4 linked regions of the Callithrix jacchus genome follow. The protein of the gene in region 1 purifies or fractionates together with the protein of each later gene. This does not show direct contact. Links are inferred from orthologs where the notes say so. Each region holds a gene or a part of one and is shown in the gene's direction. Other genes may lie near its edges.

Region 1 (7,498 bases):
GAGGAAGGGAGGGAAGGGAAGGAGAGAGGAGAGGAGAGGAGAAGAGAGGGAAAGGGAGGGAGGGAGGGAGGGAAAGGGAGGAAAAGGAAGGGAGGGAGGGAAGGAGGGAGGGAGGGGAAGGGAGGAGAAGGGAGGGGAAGGGAAGGGAAAAAAAACTGAGATAGGCTAAAAGCTATGCCTTCTCTTTTCTCTTCTTGCCTTGGTGTCCTAGTAGCTGGGATTACAGGCACTTGCCACCTCATCTGGCTAATTTTAGTAATTTTAGTAGAGACAGGGTTGCACCATGTTGGTCAGACTGGTCTCAAACTCCTGACCTCAGGTGATCCACCTGCCTTGGCCTCCCAAAGTGCTGGGATTACAGGCATGAGCCACTGCGCCCAGTGCTATGCATTTTTTTTAGCCAGGTTGTGGATGCAAACAAAAAGTTCTTTTTGTTTAGATTTTTTTTTTTTGTCTGTTTGTTTTAAACCTTTATGGTTTGACTCTGGAAAATGGAAAAGTTATTGAAGGAAATTAGAAAGGCCCAGACCAGCCTAGGCAACATAGTGAGACCCTGTCTGTATTTAAAAAATAAATAAATAATTTTTTTTTAACCAAAAAAAGAAAAATTTGAAGCTAGCAGAGGTTGGTTCTTGAGGTTTAAGAAAAGAAGCGATCTCCATAACATAAAAATGCAAGGTGAAACAGCAAATGCTGATGGGGAAACTGCAAGTTGTCCACAAGGTCTAGCTAAGATAATTAATAGTAACTACACGGGGAAACCGCCTTCTATTGGAAGACGATGCCACCTAGGGCTTTCATAGTTAGAGAGAAGCTGATCCCTGGCTTCAAAGCTTCAAAGGACGATCTTACTATCTCGTTAGAGGCTAAATGCCGCCAGCAGCTTTACATTAAAGCCAATGCTCATTTACCATTCTGAAAATTCTAGGGCCCTTAAGAATTATGCTAAATCTACTCTACCTGTGCTCTATAAATGGAACAAAACCTGGGTGACAGCATATCTGTTTACTACAGCATGGTTTACTGAATACTTAAGCCTACTGAGACCTACTATCCAGAAGAAAAAAAGATTCCTTTCAAGATATTACTGCTCATTGACAATGTCCCCGGTCAACCAAGAGCTCTGCTGAAGATGTACCAGGAAATTAATGTTTTCATGCTTGCTAACGTAACATCCATTTTGCTGCCCATGGAACGTGAAATCATTTTGACTTTCAAGTCTTATTATTTAAGAAATACATTTCAGCCAGGTGCAATGGCTCACCCCTGTAATCCCAGCACTTTGGAAGGCCAAGGCAGGTGGATCACCTGAAGTCAGGAGTTCGAGACCAGCCTGGCCAACACGGTGAAACCCAGTCTCTACTAAAAATACACAAAATTAGCCGGGTGTGGTGGTGGGTGCCTGTAATCCCAGCTACTTGGGAGGCTGAGGCAGGAGAATCACTTGAACCCGGTAGGCAGAGGTTGCAGTGAGCCAAGATCATGCCATGGTACTCCAACCTGGGCAACCAGAGCAAAACTCCATCTCAAAAAATAAAAATAAAAACAAAAACAAAAGAAGAAATACATTTTATAAGGTGATAGCTGCCATTGATTCCTCTGATGGACCCAGGCAAAGTAAATTGAAAAAGTTCTGGAAAAGATTCATTATTCCAGATGCCATTAAGAACATTCATGATTCATGGGGAGTCAAAATATCAACATTAACAAGATTTTGGACAAAGTGGATTCTAACCCTAATAGATGACTTTGAGGGATTCAAGACTTCTATGGAGGAAGTAACTGCAGATACAGTGGAAATATCAAGAGAACTAGAAGTGGAGCCTGAAGATGTGACTGAATTGCTGCAATCTCATAAAATTTGAACAGATGAGGAGTTGCTTCTCATAGATGACCAAAGAAAGTGGTTTCTTGAGATACAATCTACTCTTTGTGAAGATGCTGTGAACACTGTTGAAATGACAACAAAGGATTTAGAATATTCCATAAACTTAGTTGATAAAGCAGAGGCAGAGTTTGAGAAATCTGGATTGACTCCAATTTTGAAAGGTCCACTGTGGGTAAAATATTATCTATCAGCATCACATGCCATCAAGAACTCTTTCATGAAAACAGAAGTCAATCAATGTACCAAATGCCATTGTTGTCTTATTTTAAGGAATTGCCACAGCCACCCCAACCTTCAGCAGCCACCATTCAGATCAGACAGCAGCCATCAACATGGAGCAAAAACTCTCTACTAGCAAAGAATATGACTTTCTAAAGGCCTAGATGATTGTTAGCATGTTTTAGCAGTCAAGTATTTTATTTACTTGTTTGTTTTAAAGACAGGGTCTCACTCTGTCTCCAGGCTGGGGTGCAGAGGCATAATCACAGCTCACTGTCATCTCGACCTTCTGGGCTCAAGTGACCCTCCTGCCTCAGAGCAATAACAAATGTACATATACTTTTTCCTCCCTCTCTCCCAATATTATCAATTAAGGTATGCACATTGTTTTAGACATAACATTACACACTTACTACATTATAAACGATTGTATGTGCACTGGGACATGAAATATTTGTGAGACCTCACTTTATTGCCATATTGCGGTGTTCTGGAACCAAGTTCGCAATTATCTCTGAGGTATGCCTGTAGCAGATTTTCTGTGCTTGGGTTTAGTCCACATCGTAAATACCTTGAAGGCAAAAGGAACAGGGCAGAGAACACAGAGGACAATACATATTTGCTGAAAAACAGTACAACTGCTGACGACCACAGCCTTGCCTTCTCCAGTTGACTGTGCAGCAAATGTTGCCAATTTGCCAGAGGCAAGCAACTCGAAGAGAGAAAAGCTGCCTCTCCAGTTGACAAGAAAAGTACTGGGTTTGTCTTCTGCGGAGCACCAGCAACCCAGATCCCGACCGAGATTCCTGAGACCCACTTTTGGTGGAGGGAACTCCTAGCAGCAACGCCCAGCCCCCGGCGTGACCCTCCGACCGCACTTGCCTCCCAGGTTGAAGGGGTGGAAGGGGCCGCCCGGAGTCCCCTCAGTTCGTCAGTAAGTGCCCCCTGGGCGGAAGCGGAGCAGAGGCCCCTAAGTCAGGCTCGAGGCGAGGGGCGGGGCACGGCGGGCCTTACGCCCCCGCCCCTCGCCGGCGCCCCAGCCCTGCGCGCCGGGCCTGCGTGTCCTCGCGCCGACCCCTCCCTCGCGCTCCTCGGCGGGCGCACGCGCGTGGCCTCGCGCTGGGCGGGGAGAGGCGGTGGCTCTGGGCGTCCCGCCCCGAACCTGTCAGACCCGGGTAGCCTGCCTCCAGCTGCGGGCGCGGCGGGCGCGATAAGCGCGAGCACGACCCGGCTCTCCCCCGGCCCGAGTGGAGAAGCGCGAGCGGGCCTCGCCTAGCCGGCCGGGGGCGGGGAAATGAGCTGTAGCCCCGCGGCAGCGCCCCAGGTATTAAATAGATGCGCCGCCCCCTCGCGGAGCCCCGGCGAAGCCTCGGGGCCGACCTTGCGACCCGCCGCTCGCGGCTTCGGAACTTGAGGACAGGGCTGGGCGCCTTTAATTTATAACGTGTTTCATTTTCCACAGGATGGGGAGGGACGCGCGGCACTGCCGTCGAGAACTGGCACTCCGGTGAAGTAGGCGCCGCCGGCCGTCCGCCTCCCGCCAGCCGTTCTGCGCCGCGGCCGCTCAGCCTCTGCCATGGCCGGCTCTGGCGCGTGGAAGCGCCTCAAATCTCTGCTGAGGAAGGATGACGCGCCGCTGTTTTTAAATGACACCAGCGCCTTTGACTTCTCGGATGAGGCGGGGGACGAGGGGCTTTCTCGGTTCAACAAACTTCGAGTTGTGGTGGCCGATGATGGTTCCGAAGCCCCGGAAAGGCCTGTTAACGGGGCGCACCGGACCCTCCAGGCCGACGATGATTCCTTACTGGACCAGGACCTACCTTTGACCAACAGTCAGCTGAGTTTGAAGGTGGACTCCTGTGACAACTGCAGCAAACAGAGAGAGATACTGAAGCAGAGAAAGGTGAAAACCAGGTTGACCATTGCTGCGGTTCTTTACTTGCTTTTCATGATTGGAGAACTTGTAGGTGAGTTGTGTTGCCAACTCACCCCTTTTACCTTTCCTCGAGAGTCTTTGTCAGCTGTAGTTACACAGGCTTTGCGGTTTAAACCATCTTTTCAGGAAGTTTGTATTTACGAAGACACTGATCTCATGTGAAAAGGCCACACGGTTCCAAAGTGCAGCTCAATCTAAGTACAACATAAACACCCCGAGATAACTTTTTTTTTGTTACTACTCCCGAGATAACTTTGACTTTGTCTTCTAGTTCTTCAAACACTGTCACCTACTGTAAAGTTAAGGACGTTATCTTCATTATATGTCACATAACTTCCTCTTTTTACAAAATTCTGATAAAATACCAGGTTAATTTTTGCAGCGTTTAAAATAGTAAATGATGGTAAATTACTTAGGATCATAGAATTTTACAGTATGAAGGGACCTTACTGAACACCTGTTCTCCACCTCCTCTTTTTTTTTTTTTTTTTTTTCCTTTTACATGTAAGGATTTCCAGGGCACAAACAGGTGAAATAAGTTGTGAGGGCCATCTAATGGAAGAGCCGCATCTACAGTCCCAGCATTTTTTCCTCTACATTTGACCTAAGTGGTTTCTCTTATACTATTTCCTTTTGTGTTTATAGCCAAGAGTTTTGCAAAATTAATTACCAACTAACATGAAATTTTTTCATTATAAGGAGGGCCTGAAATGAACCATGGGACTCCGCCATAGTTCTATAAGCCTGGTTTTCTTTTTCATTTTTTAATTATATTAAACACTCCATTTTCAATATAAGATACACTCAGTTTAGAGGTTATTTTCAGTCACATCAGTATAACTACTAACTTCTCAGTGACATTTACAAAGTGACATTAAAAGGAGGTGATTCTCCCATGTTATCTCTTAATGATGAACCATGAAAAAAACAGATGGCAGTCCAGATTTAAGATGCTTGACTAGACAGTTCTATGTAGGAAAAATTATATACATTTCCTACCTCATTTCATAACATTTCTCCCCAGGTTCACTTCAGCCATGCAGGCCTTTTTCCTCCTACAACTCACAAAGCTCTTTTTGCCCCTAGGTCATTCAAAGTAGCTGGTCCCTCTATCTCAGGGGCTTTCAGACATTTTTTGACCTCACTATAGTAAGAAATACACTTCACATTGTGACTCAGGTAGGCATGCATGCACACATATGTATGTGAATACACACAGGTCACATGTATAAATATACATAAAACTGAAACAAAATTTTTCCTTCATGTGATGTATCCTAATAGTTTTTCAATTGTGGTCCCAGCTTACTAACTGTATTTCATGGTTTACTGCAGTAGGTCAGGGCCTGTAGTTTGGAAAACACTGCTTTACATAGACTGCCTTTCCCAAATCTTTTCTTCGCCAATTTTTTGTCATTTGGTGTCTTATTTTAAAAGACACCCTGGCTGGGCATGGTGGCTCACACCTGCAATTCCAGCACTTTGGGAGGCTGATGTGGGTGGATCACCTGAGGTCAGTAGTTCAATACCAGCCTGGCCAACACGGTGAAACCTTGTCTCTACTAAAAAAAAAAAAATATATATATATATATATATATACACACACACACACACACACACATACATATATATATATATATATATACAAAAAAAAATTAGCTGAGGGTGGTGGCAGGTGCCTGTAATCCCAGCTACCCAGGAGGCTGAGACAGAGAATCCCTTGAACCGGGAGGTGGAGGTTGCAGTGAGCCGAGATTGTGCCATTGCAGACCAGCCTGGCAACAAGGGTGAAGCTCCATCACAAAGAAAAAAAAAAAAAGAAAGAAAACAACCACAACAAAATATTCAGAATGTTACACGGAATTAAATTGTATATAATAGAGCATTTATTAAAGTGTGTTCAAAGCGCTTACAAATAAAGCATCTTCAACCTCACTTGAGGTTAGGAGGAAAGCAGTCTGGCCAATGTGGTAAAACCCTGTCTCAACTAAAAATACAAAAAGTAGCCAGTGTGGTGGCATGCTCCTGTAGTCTCAGCTACTGGGGAGGCTGAGATGTGATAATTGCTTGAACCTGTGAGGTAGAGGTTGCAGTGAACCAAAATCATTCCACTGCACTCCAGCCTGGGTGACAGAGTATGACTCTGTCTCAAAAAAAGGAAAGAAAGAAAAATAAAGCATCTTACGTAGGAAGTATGGAATAATAAAAAATGAAGCAATTTGGCCGGGCACAATGATTCACACCTGTAATCCTGGCACATTTGGGAGGCCAAGGTGGGCGGATCACTTGAGGTCAGGAGTTCAAGAGCAGCCTGGCCAACATGGTGAAACCCCGTCTCTGCTAAAAATACAAAAATTACCCTGAAATTGCTTGAACCCAGGAGACAGAGGTTGCAGTGAGCTGAGATCGTGCCACTGCACTCCAACCTGGGCAACAGAGTGAGATTACATCTAAAAAAAAAAAAAAAGGAGCAGTTTGGCCAGGTGTAGGAAGTATCTTATGTAGGAAGTATAGAATAATAAAAAATGAAGCAATGTGGCTGGGCGCAGTGGCTCATGCCTGTAATACCAGCACTTTGGGAGACCGAGGATTGCTTGAGCTCAGGAGTTCAAGACCAGCTTGGGGAACATGGCGAAACTCTCTCTTTACCAAAAATAGAAAACCTTAGCCTGGCATGGTGGTATGTGTCTGTGGTCCTAGCTCCTCTGGAGGCTGAGGTGGCAGGATTGGTTGAGCCCAGGGGGCAGAGGTTGCGGTGAGCAGAGATCTGGCTACTGCACTCCACCCTGGGTGAGTGTGAGACTCTGTCTCAAAAAGAAGGGGGAAAAAATGAAGCAATTTAAAGATCTGAGATACACTTGGTTGGCTTTGCCACTTAACTTGCTCTGAGACCTTGGTCAAGATCCATTCTTTCCTTCTCTTTGGAAGTATATTTTGAATACTTACACTATGTGCCCCATGTTCTGAATATACAGTGGACAAAAAACTATTATGATCCCTACTATCTGGTGAATTTAATCCAATGGAAGAGACAGACATTAAACGTGTAAGTAAATTTAAAATTTAGATGGTCCCAAGTGTTAGGAAGAAAAAGAAAAAGGTAGTATAAGACATAGTAACCAGTAGGACATAGTTTATCAATGGACCAGGTATATTTAAGCCAAAAAAAAAGAATAGTAGGAGTTACCCAAACAGAGTGAGGGAGTTTTCTGAGAGAAGACAACAGCATGTACCAAGGTCCTAAAGTCTTCAATTCTTCAAAAGGAATTAGAAAGAAGGCCAGTTTGGCTTCAGTGTGTAACCATGAGGGAAGAGTTAGGAGGAAGAGATCAGGCAGGTCCTGGTAGGGAATGTTAAATGAGTGTAGTTTCATTTTAAGTGCAATGGAAACCAGTTAAAGGTTTTAAGCAGGAGAGTAACAAAATGGGATTTACCTTTTTGAAAGATTACTCTGG
Region 2 (7,047 bases), on another chromosome or scaffold:
TCCTGTAGGGGTAAAAAGGAATAAAAAAGGATGACAGTTTTTTTCAAGTGAATATATAATTGTAAAATTCCAGTGTGATTTTGTTTCAAGTCTATATGGAGGAATAAACAGATATAAAAGGAGGAAAAATAAAGGTAAGATCAGCCCTACTAGACACATAGTTATACTTAGTAAAAGATCATGCTTCTATTATAATAGCCTACAAATAGTTTGCTTTTTCAAAACATACAAAATAAAGGAAGCATTACAAATCAACGATTCTGAAATGGTTGGATGTGTCTTTGGTAGTGGAGAATCTAGTTTAGAATCTCATCTCACATTCTATTCTAGAACAATATACAATAATGTCTTAGTCAGCTCAGGCTGCCATTATAAAATACCACAGACTGGGTAGCTTAAACAACAGATATGCATTTTCTTAGCATTCTGGAGCCTAGAAGTACAAGATCAAGGTGCCAGCAGATTTGATTCCTGATGAGGGCTCTCTTCCTTGGTTACAGATGCCTCCTTCTCACTGTGTTCTCACAGGGGAGTTGGGGGTGAGGGGAAGAAGAAAGGCAGCCAAGCTCTCTGATGTTTCTTCTTATAAGGACACTAATCTCATCATGATGGTTCCACCCTGGTGTCATCCAAATACCTCTCAAAGGTCCCATCTCCAAATACTGTCACATTGGGATTAGAGCTTCAACATACAATTTTTTTCTGGTGGTGATGGCCACAATTCAGTCCATAGCAAATAAGTAACACTTAAAGGCCAGGCACAGTGATGTCTGTAATCCCAGCACCTTGGGAGGTCAAGGCAGGTAGATTACCCGAGGTCAGGAGTTTGAGACCAGCCTGGCCAACATGGTGAAACCCGTCTCTGCTAAAAATACAAAAATTCGCTGGGTGTGGTGGCACGCGCCTGTAGTCCTGGCTACTCAGGAGGCTGAGGCAGGAGAATGCTTGAACCCAGGGGAGATGAAGGTTTGCAGTGAGCTGAGATTGCACCACTGCACTCCAGCCTGGGTGACAGAGCGAGACTCCATCTCAAATAGTAGTAGTAATAATAATAATGAAGCAACACTTAAAAATAAGCATAGAAGCATACACAAAAGCATAGATGAATATAGAGAAAACCCACTAACACTCCAGTAATCAAAGCCGGCAAAGGACACAATACCGAGGATGTAATTAGACAGTTCACACACAGGAAACTCAATTTAAAGTTAGAAAAAGTTACAGATAATTCGATAGTTTTTGTTTTTCTTTTCAATGATTTTTGAAAATACAAATTGCTACAGACTTTTTGGAAATTAACTTTGTATCATGAGTGTTCAAACATAAAATTTATTCTTGGGTCTTTGGAGAATTTCTTCAGTCTTCATGCTGGTTCACACATAAATTATCTGAGTATAGACTAAGATTTTACTTTAAATGTGAAAGCCGCTGTATTTTTGTTGTTTCTGTTGTTAATCAGTTAGTTATAATTAAAATAGTTATAGTTTTGATGTATTTAAGAGCTGTATACTTGAGGTACATGTTTAGGACAACAATAGATACCAGATTTTTTTTGTTGTTTCATTCCTCAAAATATGTATACTCACAGCTTCGTAACCATAAATTGTGACTTTTTTCCCCCCTAGTCTGAATTGGAGAAACCTAGAAGCAGGAAGAAAACACCCGTCACAGAACAGGAGGAGAAATTAGGTATGGATGACTTGACTAAGTTGGTACAGGAACAGAAACCTAAAGGCAATCAGCGAGGTCGGAAAAGAGGCCATACGGCTTCAGAATCTGATGAACAGCAGTGGTCTGAGGAAAAGAGGCTCAAAGAAGATATATTAGAAAATGAGGATGAACAGAATAGTCCACCAAAAAAGGGTAAGAGAGGCCGACCACCAAAACCTCTTGGTGGAGGAACACCAAAAGAAGAGCCAACAATGAAAACTTCTAAAAAAGGAAGCAAAAAAAAATCTGGACCTCCAGCAGCAGAGGAGGAAGAAGAAGAAGAAAGACAAAGTGGAAATATGGAACAGAAGTCCAAAAGCAAACAGCACCGAGCGTCAAGGAGAGCACAGCAGAGGTAAGCATATGTAACTCTAAACTGTATCTATTTCATTACTATATTATAAATCATAATTTGATGCTATCCACATTTGGGTCTTCCCAAAGCAGAGCAGAATCTCCTGAATCTAGTGCAATTGAATCCACACAATCCACACCACAGAAAGGACGAGGAAGACCATCAAAAACGCCATCACCATCACAACCAAAAAAAAATGTGTAAGTTGTAAATGTTAAATTTCAAACCAATTTCAAATTATTTTGCAAAAGTTCCTTAAGCTATAAACATACATACTGCTGTATTTAAATTCCATGTATTTAGCCCCATTACACTAGGTAAGATAACATTTTTATAAACTTACCTTGGTGATTGATAGCCCAATGAACTATTTTGTACATTTTTATAGGTGTAGGCAAATCTTTATAAATGAATAACAAATAGTTTATTATTTCCTTACAGACTTGATGATATCTAAAGAAATAAGGCATTTTTTAAAAAATCACCACACATTGACCAGGTTGTCCCGTCATTCCACGCTACAGTTTTTAAAAATTGTTTCTCGTTAGCACCTTTTCCTTTGAAAAAAGAAAACAGGTCTTGCACTTCTGCTTTTGTTTTTTGAACTTGTAGTAGGAAAATAACAGGTACCATTTTTCCTAAACTATGTCCGTAGAAATTATCACATGTTGGTCCCCGGTGTTGGTCTCAAGTATTTGACATGTTGGTCTCAAGGTTTTGTTTGTTTTCTAATCGAATTCATTTATCTATATCAACATATATATAGTTTCAGATGTTCACACAAATACAATTATAAGAGAGGTATAGTAACAATCTGTACCCCAAATTTTAAGGTCAGAAGAGAAATCGGCACTGTAATTTGTAGATTTGACAGCATTTTTTCTCCTTAGTTATGTCTTCTCTTTGTCATACAAAATTTAGCATACTTTTTCTGAGCGTATTCCCACCGATACATAATTACATCAGTGGCCTGACTTTTCAGAGTTACCAACATACTGTCCTTAAATACTCAATTATCTTAGAGATTTTCCTATTCCTGTGTATTCCACAGGAAGAGGAAAAGTTGCCTGGGTGTCTAGCCAGTACTTCATGCCATCTTCCATGTAATTTTTCTGTCAGGTTAAAAGTAAAGGTAAGTACATTTTTGGGGCAGCTTTATAAATATGTTTGGATTCAACCAAAGGAAATCACTATTTCTAAACAAAAGATTCTTAAATCCTTTATTTAATAAAATATACATGATGTAACAATGAAATAACCTCATAACTTTAGTTTGTTTATATTCGAACATGATAAAATTCAGGGTTTAAATGATTGTGTTCTCCTAAAATTACACAAATCCTCCTATGAAAGTTCTAAACCAAACAAGTATTTCTTTAAAAAAAAAAAACAAAAACAAAAATCAGTACAGAAGAAGATTCTGAAGTCTGTCTTGGAAGCCTATCTTCCTTTCACTGGTAAGCTCTTTTTAGAGCTAGTATGATAACATATATTAGGATTTGTCTCTTTATCTTATTCTGACCTCAATGAAATTCAAAAGGATTGTCATTATTTTTCATGTAATTTCTATAGTTTCATTAATGCTGAAAAAGCAAACCAAGTAAAAAAAAATTGTTTGGTTTGAGCATGAGTTAAATAATACATATTTTGGATTGCTTATCGAAGTGATGTTATGTTTCTAATTTAAAAATAAATATTTATCAAGAGGTATCCATTTGACTCAATGGTTCTATTACATATTTTTGATGCCTCCTGTGTTTCAGAGAGTAGTAGGTGCTAGGGACACAAAACAGACATGGTTCTTGTCTTCCACTGTCTAATGGAATGAGGAAGTAACTCCAAACAACTTCAAAGAGTTGTTACTTTTTGAAAGTAACAATGAATTGATATCTTGAGAATAGTAGGGGTCAGACAGGAAGAGAAGAGGTGGCAAGAACACTGTATTTGAAGTTTCTGAAGTGAGAAAAGTCTTGGCAAAATCAGAAGCTAAAGGAAGGCAAGGGTTTGCTGGATTGTAGTTGTGGGGAGTTAGGGACCCGAAAGGGATGAGAATGAACAGGTAGGCAAGGACCATCTACTGGTCCTTGTATACTGTGTTAAGGAGGTTTACAAGATTATTCTCAGCTCAAGGGGGAGCTCTGTAGTGGTAGTAAAAGTAAAATTTTACTTTTAAAAGATAACTTTGTAAAGTACAAGATAAGTATTCTTGTACTTTTAAAAGATAACTTTGTAAAGAGAAGATGTAAGAGATGGGAATGGTTTGAATTAGGTGGTAGCAATGGAGATATGGAGAGAAGTGAATCGATTTGAGCTCACTTTAAGAATCTGTAAGGCCAGACAAAGACTGGTACACGATATTCAAAGCAGAATTCCTTTCTGCTTTGAGCAGCTCATAAGACATTGATGCCTTTTACTGCCTTAGGAAAGATAGAAAGGAAAAGCAACTTTGAGTTATGTTTTGCATTCCTTTATGGGAAGGACTCAGTTACAATTTTTATTGTTGTTACTTGGTTGATAATTTGTAAAATTCTATGATTAAACATTGGTTTAGGATTCAGAATATTAAAGAAATTTTCTTGTCTCGTAAGGTAATTGAGGGTAAACATGATGACAGTTAATGAAATACTTGAAGCATTTCTTCTAACGAGGTAATCTACTGAAAGATTGGAACATTCATTGTATTTTATGTGTGTTTTACTCTAGCCGTGTAGGACGCTCCAAACAAGCAGCTACTAAGGAAAATGATTCAAGTGAAGAAGTAGATGTGTTTCAGGGTAGCTCTCCTGTCAATGATGATATTCCACAGGAAGAAACAGAGGAAGAGGAAATTTCCACAGTAAATGTATGTGTTCAAAGTCTCTGTGAGTGATGTGGAATATAAAACTAGAGTTGGGCTCACACCTGTGATCCCAGCATTTTGGGAGGCTGAGGCGGTCGGATCACCTGAGGCCAGAAGTTCGAGACCAGTCTGGCTAGCATGGTGAAACCCCATCTTTACTAAGAATACAAAAAATAGCCAGGCATAGTGGTGTGTGCCTGTAATCCGAGCTACCTAGGAGGCTGGGACAGGAGAAAGGCTGGAACCCGGCAGGCAGAGGCTGCAGTGAGCCGAGATTGTGTCACTGCACTCTAGCTTGGGTGACAGAGCAAGACTCCACCTCAAAAAAAAAAAAAAGCACAAAACTTTTTTTTTGAGTTGGTAAATATTTGGTTAGATCATTTAGTACTTGTTGTTTGTTATAATTGTAAGTATTTGTATATTTTTCTTCATTAATTTATAGCATTGTTTTATCTACCAGCTTGCATAATGGAGAAAATCTTTTATGGAAACCTGAAACTAATTGAATAGGTGTAGCTTAGTGAGAATGTAAATGTTAAGTATGAACTGAATGTAGAGCATTCTAATATTGACACTTTAAACATTTAAGTTGTACCTTGATTTTAGGGTACTGATACCTGTTAAGTATACTGTTGTTTATATTTCGCAACTGTGTTCGGTATTTCTATTTGGGTTTCATAATAGGAATTACAAGTTAGTTACACAGAATAAAATCAGCCTTTGGAATTGAAGTATGAGCTGAATGAGAATCCGTAAAATTGGTAATACATACTTACTTTGCAAAAGTAGGGATGTGTTACTTCCTTACTTTTTTTAAAAAAGTTTTTGTTTTTGAGACAGAGTCTCACTCTGTCACCAGGCTGGAGTGCAGTGGTGAGCGATCTGTTCTCACTGCAACCTCCACCTCCCACGTTCAAGCAGTTCTCCTGCCTCAGCCTCCGAGTAGCTGGGATTACAGGCCATTGCCACCACATCTGGCTAATTTTTGTATTTTTAGTAGAGACAGAGTCTTAAGATGTTGGTCAGGCTTGAACTCCTGACCTCAGGTGATCTGCCTGCTGGACCTCCCAAAGTGCAGGCATGAACCACTGCACCCGGCCCTTCCTGACATTTAAAATAATAAACAAATAAATAAATAAATTTACCAGTTAATACAACTCAGATAGTTCTCTTAGGAAAAAATATAATACATTTAAGTAGGAGCTCTTCTTTTGATGTACTAATGCTGAACTTTTAGATCTGCTCAGCCAGCCATCTTTGTTTGAGAAACCCAAGCTCTGTAATTAAGTCTCAGAATTGGTCTCTGCTGTTCTGTCCTATTTAATGGAATCAGAACTCTTGGCTGTCTCAGGATTCATTTTTGTGAATGAGTAAATTAACACAGGAAAAAATGCCCAATTGTGGTCTCAAATTAGTTTGGCTTGTTTCTTTAAGGGTTTTAGGGGGACATTAAAGTAAGGCTGAAGAGTTAATGATTGATGTCTTCATCAGAAAAAAACTACAAAGTAAATCAAAACCCTGTCTTTTTTATATTCTTGTTAATATTGACATTTTTTCATCTAAAGTCTTGTGCTTTCATTAGTGCTTGCCAGTTAGTATGTTTGAAATTTAGGTTATTTTACCGTATTGATAGTTGGTTGAGATCCAAACTCAGTAACTACTTTTCCAGAAAGATATTGTAAGTTCATAAATCTGAAATGTTTTCATTTACCACATGAAATATAAGTAGAAAGATGATTAATATGCTTGCAGTTATTTTTCTTGCTGTGGACATTGACTTCTGTTCATTTCTCTTTAAAATTATTAGATAGAAAAGTAAAATAATTTTTTCTTTTGCTGTTCTGGGAAAGTCTATGAGCATTTAAGGGTTCAAATATTATAGAAGTCTAAATATATGATGCCAAGGCAGAAAGCAAAGATAAAAAATTTCAGGGAAAGGAAAGCAAAGGAAATCAGGAACAAATGAGAAAAAAGATTGCTTAAAAATGATTACTGCATGTCTTATATACATATACACATTTTAATTAAGCATTTGATGACTTTCCTTTTAAGGTACGGCGGCGAAGTGTTAAAAGGGAACGGCGATGAACAAATGTAATTAATAACTTTCTCTGTGAAAGCTTTGGAAAAATCTTTCTTTTTT
Region 3 (7,701 bases), on another chromosome or scaffold:
CACCACTTCTACTGCCATGACCTCTATTAGCTATTATCCTAAGAAATGGTTCTTGTTACCATTTCTTCTTGGGATTTTAATAGTTGTCTTATACCTGGGTACCTTTCTTCCACATTTGCATATCTACGGCTATTTTCAAGCTAGCAGCTAGAATGATTCTTTTTTTTTTTTTTTTTTAGACGGAGTTTCGCTCTTGTTATGCAGACTGGAGTGCAATGGCACGATCTCGGCTCACCGCAACCTCTGCCTCCTGGGTTCAAGCAATTCTCCTGCCTCAGCCTCCCGAGTAGCTGGGATTACAGGCATGCACCAGTGCACCCAGCTAATTTTTGTATTTTTGGTAGAGAAGGGTTTTCACCCTGTTGGTCAGGCTGGTCTCAAACTCCTGACCTCAGGTGATCTACCTCGGCCTCTTAAAGTGCTGGGATTACAGGAATGAGCCACCATGCCTGGTCTAATTTTTTGTACTTTTAGTAGAGATGGGGTTTCACCATGTTAGCCAGGCTGTTTTGGAACTCCTGACCTCAAATGATCTGTTCACCTCCCCCTCCCAAAGTGCTGAGATTACAGATGTGAGGCCTCTCTTCCCTACTTTATTTTCATATACATCTATTATTGTTATTTTGATCTATCTCTCCTCAAACAAATTAAGGTCCACCAAGAGGGCATGCCTTCATTTGTGAAACAATTATTTAAAGAAGCCTACAGTATAAGGCATTGTTTCTGGCACTGAGAGAGGAAGAAAGCTAGGTGGTGGCCAGGCATGGTAGCTCACACCTGTAATCCAAGCACTTTGGAGGCCAAGGCGGGCGGATCACCTGAGGTCGGGAGTTCAAGACCAGCCTGACCAACATGGTGAAACCCCGCCTTTATTAAAAAACAAAAACAAAAGCTAGGTGGAGGCCCGGTGCAGTGACTCATGCCTGTAATTCCAGCACTTTGGGAGGCTGAGGTGGGTGAATCACCTGAGGTCAGGAGTTCAAGATCAGCCTGGCCAACATGGCGAAACCCTGTCTCTACTAAAAACACAAAAATTAGGCCAGGCGTGGTGGCTCATGCCTATAATCCCAGCACTTTGGGAGGCCACGATGGGCGGATCACATTAGGTCAGGAGTTTGAGATCAGCCTGACCAAAATGGTGATACCCTGACTCTATTAAAAAAAAAAAATTAAAAAATTAGCCAGACATAGTCGCGGGTGCCTATAATCCCAGCTACTCGGGAGGCTGAGGCGGGAGAATTGCTTGAACCCGGAAGGCAGTGGTTGTAGTGAGCCAAGATCATGCCACCACACTCCAGCCTGGGCGACAGAAGGAGACTCTGTCTCAAAAAAAAAAAAAAAAAAAAAAAAGCCGGGTATGGTGGCACACCTGTAGTCCCAGCTACTTGGGAGGCTGAGGCACAAGAATTGCTTGAGCCTGCAATGCCAAAGCTGTAGTGAACCGAGATCACAGCACCGCACTCCAGCCTTGGTGACAGTGAGACTTCATCTCAACAAATAATAAAGTAACGTAAAAAATAAATAATAAAATCTATGATATACAAAACTCCATTTAATAATAAGCAAGCTATTGCAGAGAATGAAAAATAAAATCATTGCTTTTTAGTTATTTAAACACAACACATAAGAAACATCAAAATTGATAGGGAGAGACTAAAAAGAGAGCTACTTTTTGGTCCACCTAACAGTTTGGAAGAGGACAATTTAAAATGGATTCTGCCTGGTACTGTAAATGCCCAAGAACAAAGCACTGACTTTTTGGCAAAGTTCTAGCAAATCAGAAACCGTGGAGTGTCAGATTCTCAATGACTGCTCCCTCGTGTAATACCTCAAAAACAAGTCAGTGAGCTGCAGTACCTTTACTATTTTTTTTTTTTTTTTTTGAGACGGAGTTTCGCTCTTGTTACCCAGGCTGGAGTGCAATGGCGCGATCTCGGCTCACCGCAACCTCCGCCTCCTGGGTTCAGGCAATTCTCCTGCCTCAGCCTCCCCAGTAGCTGGGATTACAGGCACGCGCCACTACCTTTACTATTTTTAAACTGACTTAAAAGATGTAAGAAAAAAATAGACCAGGAGAAGCATCCCAGCAACCCAACCACGGCCAGTCTTCCCTGGACACCATGAACCACACGGTCCAAACCTTCTTCACACCCGCCAGCACCAGCCGTCCCCGGAACTATGAGATGCTGAAGGAGGAACATGAGGTGGCTGCGCTGGGGGCGCCCCACAACCCCGCGCCCCCAACATCCACCGTGATCCACATCCGAAGCGAGACCTCTGTGCCCGACCACGTCGTCTGGTCCCTGTTCAACACCCTCTTCATGAACTCCTGCTGCCTGGGCTTCATAGCGTTCGCCTACTCCGTGAAGTCTAGGGACAGGAAGATGGTTGGCGACCTGACCGGGGCCCAGGCCTACTCCTCCACCGCCAAGTGCCTGAACATCTGGGCCCTGATTTTGGGTATCATCACGACCATTCTGCTGATCATCATCCCAATACTGATTCTGCAAGCCTATCAGATCAGAGGAATCATCCCGGCCAGGGGCTCTGCCGGTGACCTGTCTCCCATGTACTCCAGCTTCCATTCCTCGCCCTGCCCCCAGCCGACCCTGTATCAGCCTTTTAACCTCACACACTTTTCCACAGTTGTGTTCAATAAAGTGCACATGTTCCTGGAAAAAAAAAGAAAAAGAAAAAATAGACCAATGGGTATCCATCAAGAATAATTTGAATAAACAGTCAAATATCATTTTAAACTATGGTAGTGGTCAGTTTCATATTATTGTATCCTTTTCGGAAATTTTGTGTATCCTTTTAATTTTTAAAAAAAATAATTGTATGTTCTTGCGTTTGTTTCAATTATATACATTAAATTGCTTAAACACTGCTGTGTGCACTGTTTTTAACTGATAGTTGTTTTCCTTTGGATGCCAGAAAACGTTAATGCTTGGTAAGTTTAAAACACTAAAAAAAAAAAATGAGTTCTTTCTTATTGAGAAGCACCCACCTAATTAGTAAATGCTTATTTCTGCGTTCCACTCTCAGAGATCCTTTTTTTTTTTTTTTAATGTTTGAAGTTGGAGACGTACGTTTTCAGCCAGTACCCAAAGTGATTGTGAGGCCTGGTGGCCCAAAGACATACCTTGAGAACGACTCGAAGCAATGCTATTTTCATGTTTTGCAGCTTTCAAAATGCTAACTTCAGAAATCGAAGGAGGGTGGGTAACTCGAAAGACTGTCAGAATACCCGAGAGTGAGCCGCTCACGCAGTGCCGGGTTGCACAACTTTCCTTTACTTTGCAGATCTCTCCCTGGGGCGGAAATCATTTCATTTTCACCAAGCAATTAACCATCTTCCAACCAGTTCCGTCTACGTCCCTCATGATGACCCCCAAAAGTCACCAGCTCATCCCCGCGGCGGAAGATAAAGCGCTGTTTGCCCTGCGTGCCCTCGCAGGGTCGCGGGGCCGCGGGAACCTGGGTTCGCTTCCCGCCACCCGGGCTCCTCCTCTCCAGGCCCTGTCGGGTCGGGTCCTCCCCGAGGCGCCCAGCGCGGCAGGTCTTGGCGCCAACCGGGTGGCGGCGCTGTCCGCCCTGCGCGCGGCCGCTTCGGGCCCGAGGGAGGCGGATGCACGGCCGGCGGAGGAAGGGGAGGGAGCGAGGAGCGCGCACTGCTCTCGCGTGCTCTCGCGCCACTCGCGTGACCGGCCGGTGTGTGCGCGAGGCGCCGGCTCCCGGGGCACGGACTGCCGGGCGCGCGCCACTGCGAGGGGCGTCCGGGTCCGAGTCGGCTACCCGGGCCGGCGCGAGGTGCGGGCGGGCGGGCTGCGGGGGTCCCGAGCGGACACACGCACACAGGCTCCCGGAGGAGCCTTCTCGGAGGCTGCTCTTCCTCGGCCAGACGGAGAGCGGCACTGTCTCCCCGCCCAGCGCTCACTCGCCCCGCGTCTCCCCCCGCGGCGGCTGCTCCTCGGCACCGCCAGCCCCAGCGCCGCTCCCGGGCGGGCGGGTGGCGGCGGCGGGACCCGCGGAGCCGCTTTGTGTGCAACCCGACGAGGGGCGGCGGCGCAACCACCTGACAGAGGCCCGGGCGCTCGATGCACCTTCCGCCCGCATGAGGAGGAGGTAAAGGCGGCGGCGGCGGCTCGGCTCCCGCCCTCGGCTGCTGGAGGGAGGGGACGGAAGGAGAGACAGAGGGGGGGCCGTGGGTCCGAGGCCCGGTGGGGCCGCCCGGGGGTGCGGGGAAGGCCTCGGCGGTGCCGGCGGCGCCAAGCGGCAGGGAGCCAGAGAAGCCGTTGGGGTCCCTCAGCCGAAGTTGAAGGAACAAAATGTGAAGTGCGGAGCCGCGTCAGCCGCTTCCTGGCGTGGGGCTGGGGGTGGAGGGCGGCTTGTTTTCCCCTCCCGCGGGGGTGAGGGAGCGGAACCGAGGAGGGGCGGCAGCGCGGCGGGGACTGCCCGGAGTCCGAGGCTCGGCTGGGCAAGGGCGTTTTGTTCCCGGGAGCCGCCACTGCGCGTGGGTCCGCTCGGTCCCTAGTTTTGCGGCCTAAGCCGAGCCCTATAGGCCTCGCGTCTGCTTTCCTGGAGAGGACTAGTCGGGCGGGACTCGGCGCTTCCCTCCAGCCAAGTGGGGGCCTTGGGGTCCTTATCAACCTCCTGAGGCCGCCAAACTTCGGACCTTGGTGCTCGGGGGTGGATTTCATTGTGAAAGGGGGAAAGGTAAACTCCTGGCGCTGTTCGCTGTCTCCCGCGGCCGCGGCGGCTGGTACCGGGAAGCCCAGTGAGCCCCGGGCTGGCTGGGCCGGCGCTGGCGGGGTCCGAGCCCCGGGAAAAAGCGGGTGGTGGGGCCGCTGCCGGGTCCCCGGCCTCCGGGGAGAAAGAGCCTTTTCCAGATTAGAGAGATTTGAAATGAAAAAAGAGGTTAGAAAGTCGCCCCTTTCCCGCTGAACTTTGGTTTTCTGACCGATAGAGGCCGGTAGAGGACTGTGAACGAAAAGTTGTCCCCCAGGATGGACTTCACCGCGCAGCCCAAGCCTGCCACTGCCCTCTGTGGCGTCGTGAGTGCCGACGGGAAGATCGCTTACCCTCCGGGTGTAAAAGAGATCACCGACAAGATCACCACGGACGAGATGATCAAACGCCTGAAGGTAAGCGTCTGGACGGATTGTTCGCTCTCTGGATGTCTTGGTAGCAGGTGCTTTTTCCTGTGATATGGCTACTCTGCTCGGTCTGGCCTTTAGAGTTCCAAGTTTTTTAGATGTCTTACCTCCTCAGAAAGGTATTGTATCACTACTACGTCTTTGAGTAAGTTTTCTAGTGACATAACCATTGTGAGAAATTTTAAAAGAGTGTGATTTAAAAGAAAAAAGTACTGGTTTTCAAGCATAAGAATTTGTGTGTTTTTCGTTTTTTTCTGGAGATATTTAATGAGAATACTGTTCAGAGTGGCTTGCAAACCTAAATGTAGGCAGGAATTTGCCTAAGAAGTTTCCTAGTTTCAGCCTGTGAGGGGGATTGATTAAAGCACAAAGTCCTTTTTAAAAATTGGCATAATTTTCTAATATCCAGAAGCTTAAATATGTATATAGTGTGGTTAAACTTTGACAGTAGGTACAGACTTCTCAAAATTGAGGTTTAAAGTTAGATGTTTTAAATCTATACGTTCAAAGGAGTTTAAGAGTATTACGGCTCTTTTTATGAGGCGTCAGCTAATTTTGTTTAAGCATGGCAGTCCGAAGGTTAAGGTTTTAAATTTCAACCTTATGTTGGTTAGTTTTTTTGGTTTCTGTGTCACTGACATAGATCGTGGCCAGAATCTTACCAAATAAGTGATATTCTTGTAGGATCAGCTTGAAGCAGTGGTTTTCAGTCAGGGCAACTTTGACCTCCAGGAGATATTTGGCAATGGTGGAGACATTTTGGTTGTCATAATTGGTGCTAGATTGGAGTAGGGAATGATTTGAGTAAGAATAGACCAGAGGCAGTGAGTCCAGCTAGGAAACTAAACAGTAGTCTGGGTGAAAGACATTGAAATCTTTAGGCAGGGCTTTGGCATTGGTAATAGTGACTAGGAAATGATTTAACAGACTTTTCAGAGTTAGAATCAATCAGAATTGGTGGGAGGTAAGGGAAGGAATATTGTCAATGTTTCCACCTTGGGCAACTTGGCAAAATGTATTTTAGGGAATAATTTTGCCCTCTTGCTCTTGGAGCCCAGTAAATATATCTAATGTTGCATTTTAATGAGTATAGTATTTAAAATATTCCTACGGTTTAGCTTTCAAAACTAAGTTGCTTCTACAATTTGCCTTTTGGAAGGAATAAGACAACAGTTCCTTTCATTAAAACAAATATTTTTATTTTTATTTTTTAATCGAAACAGGGTTTCACCATGTTGGCCAGGCTGGTTTCTTTTCTTTTTTTTAAAGACGAGGTTTCACCATGTTGGTCAGGCTGGTCTTGAACTCCCGACCTCAGGTGATCCGCCCCCCTTGGCCTCCAAAGTGCTTGAATTACAGGCATGAGCCACCACACCCAGCCCAGTTTTTTTGTTTGTTTGTTTGTTTGTTTGTTTGTGAGGGCGGGTTGGATCTCTGTCCCTCAGGCTGGAGTGCAATGGTGTGATTTCAGCTCACTACAACCTCAGCCTCGGGATTCAAGTGATTCTCCTGCCTGAGCCTCCCAAGTAGCTGGGACTACTGGTGTATGCCACTATGCCTGGCTAATTTTTTTTTGTATTTTTTCTTTTACTTTTTTTGAGATGGAATTTTTGCTCTTGTTGCCTAGGCTGGAGTGCAGTGACGGAATCTCCACTCACTGCAACCTCCGCCTCCCAGGTTCGAGCGATTTTCCTGCGTCAGCCTCCTGAGTAGCTGGGATTACAAGCATGTGCCACCACACCTGGCTAATTTCTCCATGTTTAGTCAGTTTGGTCTTGAACCCCTGACCTCAGGTGATCTGCCTGCCTCAGCCTCCCAAAGTGCTGGGATTACTGGCATGAACCCGGCCATATATGTTTTCTTTTTAATAAGGCAGAATTTCACTGTGTCTGTCAGTTCGTTTCTAACTCCTGATCTCAAATGATCCACCTGCCTCACCTTCCAAAGTGCTGGGATTACAGGTGTGAGCTGCTGCTCCTGACCCCTTTCACTAAAATAAGTCTTGGCCTGGTGTGGTGACTTGCGCCTATAATCCCAGCACTTTGGGAGGCTAAGGTGGGCGGATCACCAGGTCAGGAGATCGAGACCAGCCTGACCAACATGGAGAAACCCTGTCTCTACTGAAAATGCAAAATTAGCCAGGCATGGTGGCACATGCCTGTAATCCCAGCTACTCGGGAGGCTGAGACAGGATAATCACTTGAAGCTGAGAGGCGAAGGTTGCGGTGAGCCGAGATCACGCCACTGCACTCCAGCCTGGCGACTCTGTCTCAAAAAAAAAAAAAAAAAAAAAAATCCTGTGCCGGGTGCATTGGCTCATGGGCAGATCACCTGAGATTGGGAGTTTGAGACCAGTCTGACTAATGTGGAGAAACCTCATCTCTACTAAAAACACCAAATTAGGTGGGTATAGTGGCACATAAATCCCAGCTACTCAGGAGGCTGAGACAGGAGAATCGCTTGAACCTGGGAGGCGGAGGTTGTGATCAGCTGAGATTGTGCCATTGCGCTCCAGCCTGGGCAACAAGAGCAAACCTCTGTCTTG
Region 4 (7,662 bases), on another chromosome or scaffold:
AGAATATATACAGTTGGCCAGGCGTAGTGGCTCATGCCTATAATCCCAACACTTTGGGAGGCTCAGGTGGGTGGATCACAAGGTCAGAAGATTGAGACCAGCCTGGTCAACACGGTGAAATCTTGTCTCTACTAAACACACAAAAAGTTAGCTGGATGTGGTGGCACATGCCTGTAATACCAGCTACTCAGGAGGCTGAGGCAGGAGAATTGCTTGTACCCAGGAGGTGGAGGTTGCAATGAGCCGAGATCACACCACTGCACTCCAGCCTAGGTGCCAGGGCAAGACTCTGTCTCAAAAAAAAAAAAAAAAAGAAAAAAAAAAAAGAAAAAGAAAGAGAGAGAGAGAGAGAGAGAGAGAGAGAGAGAACATATACAGCTTGAGGGCACTTTTATTTAAAAAAAAAACTATTTGTATGTAAATGTATATTCAAGCGGGTCACACCAAAAATTTACAGTGATATGTTTGAAAAATGTAATGATGGCTGATTTTTCTTTCAGTTTTACTGTATGTTTCCAGTTTTCTAAACTCTTCCTCATAAGCATGGCTATGGAATTATCCCTGTATTCTTAGTCCATAAGGTATTACTTTGCATAGAGGTTATACACACATGTATAGATTTGACTGTGTGAAAGAATATACATTAATATAAAGCCACCAAGGTAACAACAATTTGATCATATGGGGTCATTCTAAAAGGCAAAGATAATTAGTAATTGCCATGGAAGACATTGGCATATAATTTACCCTGTATTTGCACTTAGAACTCTGCAACCACAGCATGAATTCAGTTGCAGAGTTCTCTGTGTGTGTGGTCCTACATTGACTCAATAAGTGATGCTCAATTCTTTCTCAATGATCTTGTAATCGGCTCTCAGGATATCTGATATCCGAAATGTATAAAGCGCTCTTTCTTTCTTTCTTTCTTTCTTTCTTTCTTTCTTTCTTTCTTTCTTTCTTTCTTTCTTTCTTTCTTTCTCTTTTTCTCTCTCTCTCTTTCTCTCTTTCTTTCTTTCAGCTGAGCCTCGCTGGCCTAGGCTGGAGTGCAGTGGCCCAATCTCGGCTCACTGCAACCTCTGCCTACCAGATTCAAGTGATTCTCCTGTCTCAGCCTTCCAACTAGCTGGAATTACAGGCACGTGCCACAAGGCCGAGCTAATTTTTGTATTTCCAGTAGAGATGGGATTTCACCATGTTGGTCAGGCTGGTCTCAAACTCCTGACCTCGTGATCTGCCCGCTCCCAAAGTGCTGGGATTACAGGCGTTAAGTCACCGTGCCCGGTAAAGCGCTCACTTTCTATCGGAGACGGTTAAAGTAAAACCGATTCAAGAGCTAAGTCCTAGAGTATGCTTAAAACTTTAGACAGTGATTGTTCTGCATCCACATTCTTAACGCTTTCAGGCATCACAACGCACATTTTAAAAAAAGTTTTGCTTCTCCTAAAATCTCATTCATTGTTTTCTCATCCCTCAGAAAACCAAAACCTCTCAAAACTAGCAACAAAACCCCACAGCAGCTTTTTCTTCCCTGAATGTTCAAAACAACAGGCAGTCACAAATAAGATTTCAGCAGAGCGACCTAGACCCTTCGTCTCTTCCCCTTCAGCTCCCCCTGGCGTCCCCTTCCCTTGCTGTCCTGGTCTGAAATCCTCACCATTTAGAAACCTTCCTTAAGATTTTAGAGAACCTAGATCATCCCCTTAGGGGGTTGCTCAAACACCCAGCGCTTTCTTGCTGGTACGCCCTCCGGGATTTTAGCAGATTTCCTAGCTAGTCCCAGGGGCCGACACAGACAGCATCTTTCTGTAGGGGGGCCTAGGGCTTTGAGAGCAGCGTGGGGCTCAGAGCCAGGAATGGCAGACCTAGCGGGAGAAGGGTTCCAACCACCCTTACTCATCCGTCCCTCCTGGGGAGGAGGCATGAGGTCCCTTTTAGGTGCCTGCGCTTGTCCGAGCTGGTAAAAACCACCCCACACTCCCTGAGGCTCGGAGCGAGGAAGTGACTCTCCAAGGCCTTGGGGCGGGGCGGGCTGTGTGGGTCCTCCTGTGCTTGTCCCTGTCCAGGGCTCCTGCCGTTGTCCCACACTGCTTTTCAGATGTCCTCGTTGTCTCACTGTTCCTGCTTGCACTATGCGTCCTCCGAGTTCCTAAACCAGCCAGCCTAGAGATGCTGGAAGCCTCACCATTGAAGCCGATCACGGCGTCAAGTTCCAGCTCCGCCACTTGAGCCTCCGGCGAAATTTTGTTATCCATCTCTGGGAGGTTCTGCTTATTTTGCTCTCCGACCGGATAAGTGTAGCGTCTCCTGGTCGTTATGGTAACGGGCGAGCGCATGCGCGCCAGTTCCACGCCCGCGCAGTAACCCACCCTGCCGAGTTTGAGTTCATTAGCATTCTTGGAAATAAGGGGTATTGGGGCTGGGAGGAGGGATGGGGTTGAGATGATTCTTCTTCTTTTCTGTGTGTGCTATTTCTCTGGAAATTTAGGGGATGGCACTGACTGCACAGAACTAATTCCTCCATCCCCTCGTGCAAAGAGTCTGTGACTTCCTGGTAACTCTAAAATCAAGCACCAAATGAATGGCATTTAAAAAATAAGTAATCAAGCGTAAAGGACTGATGGGATGGCTGCTATAAAATAATATGTAATTGATACTTCTTTGGGCCCCTGTTTGAAGCTGCGTGAAAAAAATGTTAAAGATTTTTAAAAAAGCGTTATTGAGGTATAATGTACAGATCAGAAAGTTAAGGTAGGTTGTAATAAGTTTATATAGGGTGCAAGTCTCACCGCAATCTAGTTTTTTGTTTGTTGTTTTGTTTTGGAAGCAGGATGAATTTTTAAGTAACTGTTAAGAGAGAGAGGTCTTACAGCGCTCCCACCTTCCTGGGAAAATGCTTAGTTTCTGTTCACAATTTTAACTGAGCTCAGCAGTTCGCATCTCTTGGTGTGATTAGATTGCTCCAACCTGCTGTCCCCAGGGAAGCACTTCCCTTTCTCTGATCGTGGTTCTAAGGCCCTAGTTATTCACTTGGCAAACTCCGGGCTCCGGTCGCGTACGGGACGAACTGCGGGGAGTGAGCCGCGCGGGCCGCCGTAGTCAGCTGCTAAGAGCAGGAAGAATCCGAGCGGCGGGCGGAGTCTGCATTATGGCACCGGACCCCTGGTGAGCCCCGGGTGAAGGCGGCGGTGCGCTGAGGGACCTTCGGGGAGGCCGGGCTTCCGGGGAGCAGGCGATCACTTCGCGCGCCCGTTGGAGGGATTTCGGGTGAAGGGAGAGGCAACGAGACCCTTCCTCTACTGAGGGGGCTCAGCCACTTCCCGCCACCCTTGGTCCTTGCCAGGGTGGCCCGGGAAGGAGAACGGGTGGTCCGCTGGAGAGCTGAGGACTTGAGCCAAATCTCTAAATATTCCTCTAGCTTTTCTGGGCTGCATCTCGCCGCGGGGATTTCCCGCCCATCTTGGTTGTGGAGCTGGCCGGTTCAGGCTTCCCTGGACTCCTATAAAAGTGAAGTCAAAATAACCTTTTTGTAGCGTGCCCGTCCATCCGGTGAACCCCCTTATTTCGCAGGTGGAGAAACCGAGGTTCGGAGTCCATGGTCACCAGCCAATTAGTAACCAGTTGGGACTAAGACCTAGATCTTGGGGGCCCTTCCAGATACTTACAGGAATCTGGGAGGGAAATCGTGCACTTGTTTATAAGGCATTTTACACTTTCTTGAGTTAATACCCTGAAGAATTTTCTTTTAGCAGTAGCGTCTGCAGTAAAATAGTAGGTGATAGGGTCATTTATTTAGCAATTAATCGCAAGGACTGCATGATGAAAGATGCAAGTTTTGATCCCAAGGAACATCCCGTTATAGCATAATAGACTTGACCTTTCTGCTTAATAATTAAAAACATATTACAGCTCCATAACGCTCTTGTTGGAATATATGTCTTATATTGTTATTTCTAATATAGTTGATAATTTAAGTTGCCGACAGCCTCGGTATTAGAAGAATGGATTCCAAGAACAAAGCTGAGTTACCTGGAATCTAGGTTATTTGGGCCATTTATTTAACATTGATTTTTTGAACCTAATTTTAACAGTTATATACACCACTTGATAGAGAGTATTCAATTTACAGAATATTGAAAATTTGCAAAGAGGAAAATAAATAGCATCTTTAACTCTATAATTTGGAAATAGCCATTATTGATTTTTTTTTTTTTTTTAAAGTAGAGAAGGGGTTTCACCATGTTAGCCAGGATGGTCTTGATCTCCTGACCTTCTGATCCAACCGTCTTGGCCTCCCAAAGTGCTGGGATTACAGGCATGAGCCACCGTGCCCAGCCATATCCTTTTTTATTTTATTTTATTATTTTTTGAGACGAAGTCTTGCTGTCACCCAGACTGGAGTGCAGTGGCACAGTCTTGCCTCACTGCAACCTCTGCCTCTCAGGTTCAAGCGTTTCTCCTATCCCAACTTCCCGAGTAGCTGGGACTACAGGTGTGAACTACCATGTTGTCTAATTTTTGCATTTTTAGTAGAGACAGGTTTCAAAATGTTGGCCTGGCTGTTCTCAAACTCCTGACCTCGTGATCCACCCAACTCAGCCTCTCTTAGTGCTGGGATTACAGGCGTGAGCCACAACACCTGGCCCATTACTGATTTTTTTTAAACAATGAACTTGTTACTTTAATTTGTATTATATGTGTGTGTGTGTATATTTGTATATATATATATATATAAAATACAACAGCATTTCTCTATGTAATTGAACATTCTTTGAAAACATAATTTTTTTTTTTTGAGACAGAGTTTTGCTCATGTTACCCAGGCTGGAGTGCAATGGCGCGATCTCGGCTCACCGCAACCTCTGCCTCCTGGGTTCAGGCAATTCTCCTGCCTCAGCCTCCTGAGTAGCTGGGATTACAGGCACGCACCACCATGCCCGGCTAATTTTTTGTACTTTTAGTAGAGATGGGGTTTCACCATGTTGACCAGGATGGTCTTGATCTCTTGACCTCGTGATCCACCCGCCTCGGCCTCCCAAAGTGCTGGGATTACAGGTGTAAGCTACCGCGCCCGGCGAAAACATAATTTTTTTATGTTGTATAATAGTGCATCACATGAATGACCATTATTTATTTTTCTCCTAGTATTAGTTTTGTTTTTTTGATGTTTTGTTTTTTTTTTTTCATCTCAAAGGCAGTCCCTTTGTTCCATCTCTTATTTCCTTGGGCTCCTTGCCTCGAAGAAGGAATTAGAACTGTTGAAAGTGAAAGCATTTATCCTTTTTTTGTTATTCTCAATTAGTTTGACTAACTGGATTTCTCATTACACCGTTGAAAGTGAAATAGAACTATTGGGTTCAAGGGTATGAACTTTTTTTGAGAGAAAAAAATTCTGTTGCCAAGAGTTTTGCTCTTGTTGCCCAGGCTGAAGTGCAATGGCGTGATCTCTGCTCCCTGCAACCTCCACCTCCCAGGTTGAGGCGATTCTTGCTTCAGCTTCCCAAGTAGCTGCGATTACAGGTGCTCACCACCAAACCCAGCTAATATTTATATTTTTAGTAGAGACGGGGTTTCACCATGTTGGCCAGGCTGATCTCAAACTCCTGACCTCAGGTGATGCACCCACCTTGGCCTCCTAAAGTGCTGGGATTACAGGTGTGAACCACTGCACCTGGGGGTTATGAACATTTTTAAGACCCTTGCAAAGTATCTGAGACAGGTCTCAATCAATTTAGAAAGTTTATTTTGTCAAGGTTAAGGATGCACTGGAGACACAACCTCAGGAGGTCCTGAAGACATGTGCCCAAGGTGGTTGGGGCTTGCTTTTATACAATTTAGGGAGAATAATACATGAATTAATACATGTAAGATTTATGATGGCTCGATCCAGAAGGGCAGGATACCTCAAAGGGGGTTAGGGGGCTTCCAGGTCGTAAGTAGATTTAAAAATGTTCTGATTGGCAATTGGTTGAGTTATTACTAATAGAAAGGAATGTCTGGGTTATCAGAAGGGGTTGTGGAGACCAAGGTTTTATTATGCAAATGAAGCCTCTGGGTAGCAGGCTTTAGGGAGAATAGATTGTAAATGTTTCTTATCAGACTTAAGGTCTGTATTGACCTAGAGCTGTCCCCCAGGCGTCTCTGAGGCCAGTTTCTTCACCTTGCCTCAGTGTTACCTGATTCTAAATAGCTCCTCATCACTCTCTGTCCCTTTGTCCTGCTGCATTTTTCTTCTTAGCACCTGTCAACACCTGTCATAGTATTTGTTTTATGAGTTTCTTTCCCCAAAATATGAGCTCGGTGAAAGCAGGGACTGTGTTCATTCTGTTCACTGCTCTCTTCTCCACTGCCCAGTACAGCAGAGGCCCCCAAATGCTTTATCATTGGCAGAATGACAGTTGTTAAGAGCCCCAGCTCTGGGGTCAGACAGCCTTGGTTTGCAGCGGGTAGTACCACTTGGGCAAGTCACTCTGCCTCTGTGCCTCATTTTCTCCTGTATGAGATGGAGATAGTAATGGCACCCACTTCGTAGTGTTCCTGTTTAGGTTAAGTGAGTTATTACTAATGAAGCCTTCAGAATAGTGCCTGGCACATAGTAAATACCACTCAGTCCATGTTGCTTTTACTGGTAATGCTATTGTTCTCCCCTTTTGTTTGTAGACAATGCAAAAATTTCTTTTAAAGAATCTTAAATAGACCAGCCTGACCAATATGGTGAAACCACGTCTCTACTAAAAATACAAAAATTAGCCAGGCATGGTGGCTCATGCCTGCAGTCCCAGCTACTCAAGAAGTTGAGGCAGGAGAATCACTTGAACCCAGGAGATGGAGGTTGCAGTGAGCCAAGATTGCGCCACTGCACTCCAGCCTGGGCCACAGAGCCACACTCCTTATGAAAACAAAAAGAAAAACAAAAAAATAACCTTAAACATTTTCTCTTTTTGTGACTTTGGTGCAGGTTCTCCACATATGATTCTACTTGTCAAATTGCCCAAGAAATTGCTGAGAAAATTCAACAACGGAATCAGTATGAAAGAAAAGGTGAAAAGACACCAAAGGTAATGCCAGGAGGGAATTAGTAAACAATGATTTGTTTGAGTTTTGAGATCTGAAAACTCAAACAACCCTCCTATCTTTCTTTGAGGCTCTCCGTGCACATGTGTGTATAATGATCTATCTGCTTACATGTGTTGAATGGACATAACAGCCAACCAGTTAATAGTTATGTAATCATTGAGACTAAATGAAACATAACATATTTAAGTTCTCCTGTTTTACCGTAAACATTTCTTTTTTTTTTTTTGAGACTTGCACTGTTGCCCAGGCTGGAGTGCAATGGTGCAATCTCAGCTCACTGCAACCTCTGCCTCCTAGGTTCAAGCGATTCTCCTGCCTCAGCCTCTCAAATAGCTGGGATTACAGGTGCCTGCCACCACACCTGGCTAATTTTTTGTATTTTTAGTAGAGATGAGGTTTCACTATTTTGGTCAGCCTGGTCTTGAATTCCTGACTTCAGGTGATCTGCCTGCCTTGGCCTCCTGAAGTGCTGGGATTACAGGTGTGGGCCACTGCGTCCGGCCAAACATTTCTATTTTATAGTCTAGTTCAAGGGTTAGTAAACTTCCTCTACATAATCAATCTTTTAGTCTTTGCAGGCCAAGAGAC

The links.
Region 2: the proteins of SLC30A4 (region 1) and PDS5B purify together in Homo sapiens (affinity purification with mass spectrometry; 3 studies listed by BioGRID and IntAct, counting the BioPlex papers as one, with this or other methods). This does not show direct contact. The link is inferred for Callithrix jacchus from reciprocal best matches to the Homo sapiens genes SLC30A4 and PDS5B.
Region 3: the proteins of SLC30A4 (region 1) and PDS5A purify together in Homo sapiens (affinity purification with mass spectrometry; 3 studies listed by BioGRID and IntAct, counting the BioPlex papers as one, with this or other methods). This does not show direct contact. The link is inferred for Callithrix jacchus from reciprocal best matches to the Homo sapiens genes SLC30A4 and PDS5A.
Region 4: the proteins of SLC30A4 (region 1) and STX8 purify together in Homo sapiens (co-immunoprecipitation; 3 studies listed by BioGRID and IntAct, with this or other methods). This does not show direct contact. The link is inferred for Callithrix jacchus from reciprocal best matches to the Homo sapiens genes SLC30A4 and STX8.

What each region holds. Positions count from the first base shown.
Region 1 is NC_133509.1:33,028,452-33,035,949, reverse strand, and holds the start of SLC30A4 (putative proton-coupled zinc antiporter SLC30A4), read left to right. Parts: upstream 1-3,274; 5' UTR 3,275-3,431; intron 3,432-3,569; 5' UTR 3,570-3,683; coding exon 3,684-4,074; intron 4,075-7,498. UniProt on the Homo sapiens protein: Probable proton-coupled zinc ion antiporter mediating zinc import from cytoplasm potentially into the endocytic compartment. Controls zinc deposition in milk.
Region 2 is NC_133506.1:152,028,772-152,035,818, forward strand, and holds part of PDS5B (sister chromatid cohesion protein PDS5 homolog B), read left to right. Parts: intron 1-1,625; coding exon 1,626-2,065; intron 2,066-2,154; coding exon 2,155-2,265; intron 2,266-4,768; coding exon 4,769-4,907; intron 4,908-6,956; coding exon 6,957-6,992; 3' UTR 6,993-7,047. UniProt on the Homo sapiens protein: Regulator of sister chromatid cohesion in mitosis which may stabilize cohesin complex association with chromatin. May couple sister chromatid cohesion during mitosis to DNA replication.
Region 3 is NC_133504.1:153,854,136-153,861,836, forward strand, and holds the start of PDS5A (sister chromatid cohesion protein PDS5 homolog A), read left to right. Parts: upstream 1-3,679; 5' UTR 3,680-3,791; coding exon of another isoform or gene 3,792-5,006; coding exon 5,007-5,144; coding exon of another isoform or gene 5,145-5,263; intron 5,264-7,701. Other genes in the region: uncharacterized protein LOC144581690, read right to left, coding at 3,792-5,263. UniProt on the Homo sapiens protein: Probable regulator of sister chromatid cohesion in mitosis which may stabilize cohesin complex association with chromatin. May couple sister chromatid cohesion during mitosis to DNA replication.
Region 4 is NC_133506.1:76,055,803-76,063,464, reverse strand, and holds the start of STX8 (syntaxin-8), read left to right. Parts: upstream 1-3,133; 5' UTR 3,134-3,145; coding exon 3,146-3,162; intron 3,163-6,955; coding exon 6,956-7,055; intron 7,056-7,662. Other genes in the region: CFAP52 (cilia- and flagella-associated protein 52), read right to left, coding at 2,183-2,252. UniProt on the Homo sapiens protein: Vesicle trafficking protein that functions in the early secretory pathway, possibly by mediating retrograde transport from cis-Golgi membranes to the ER.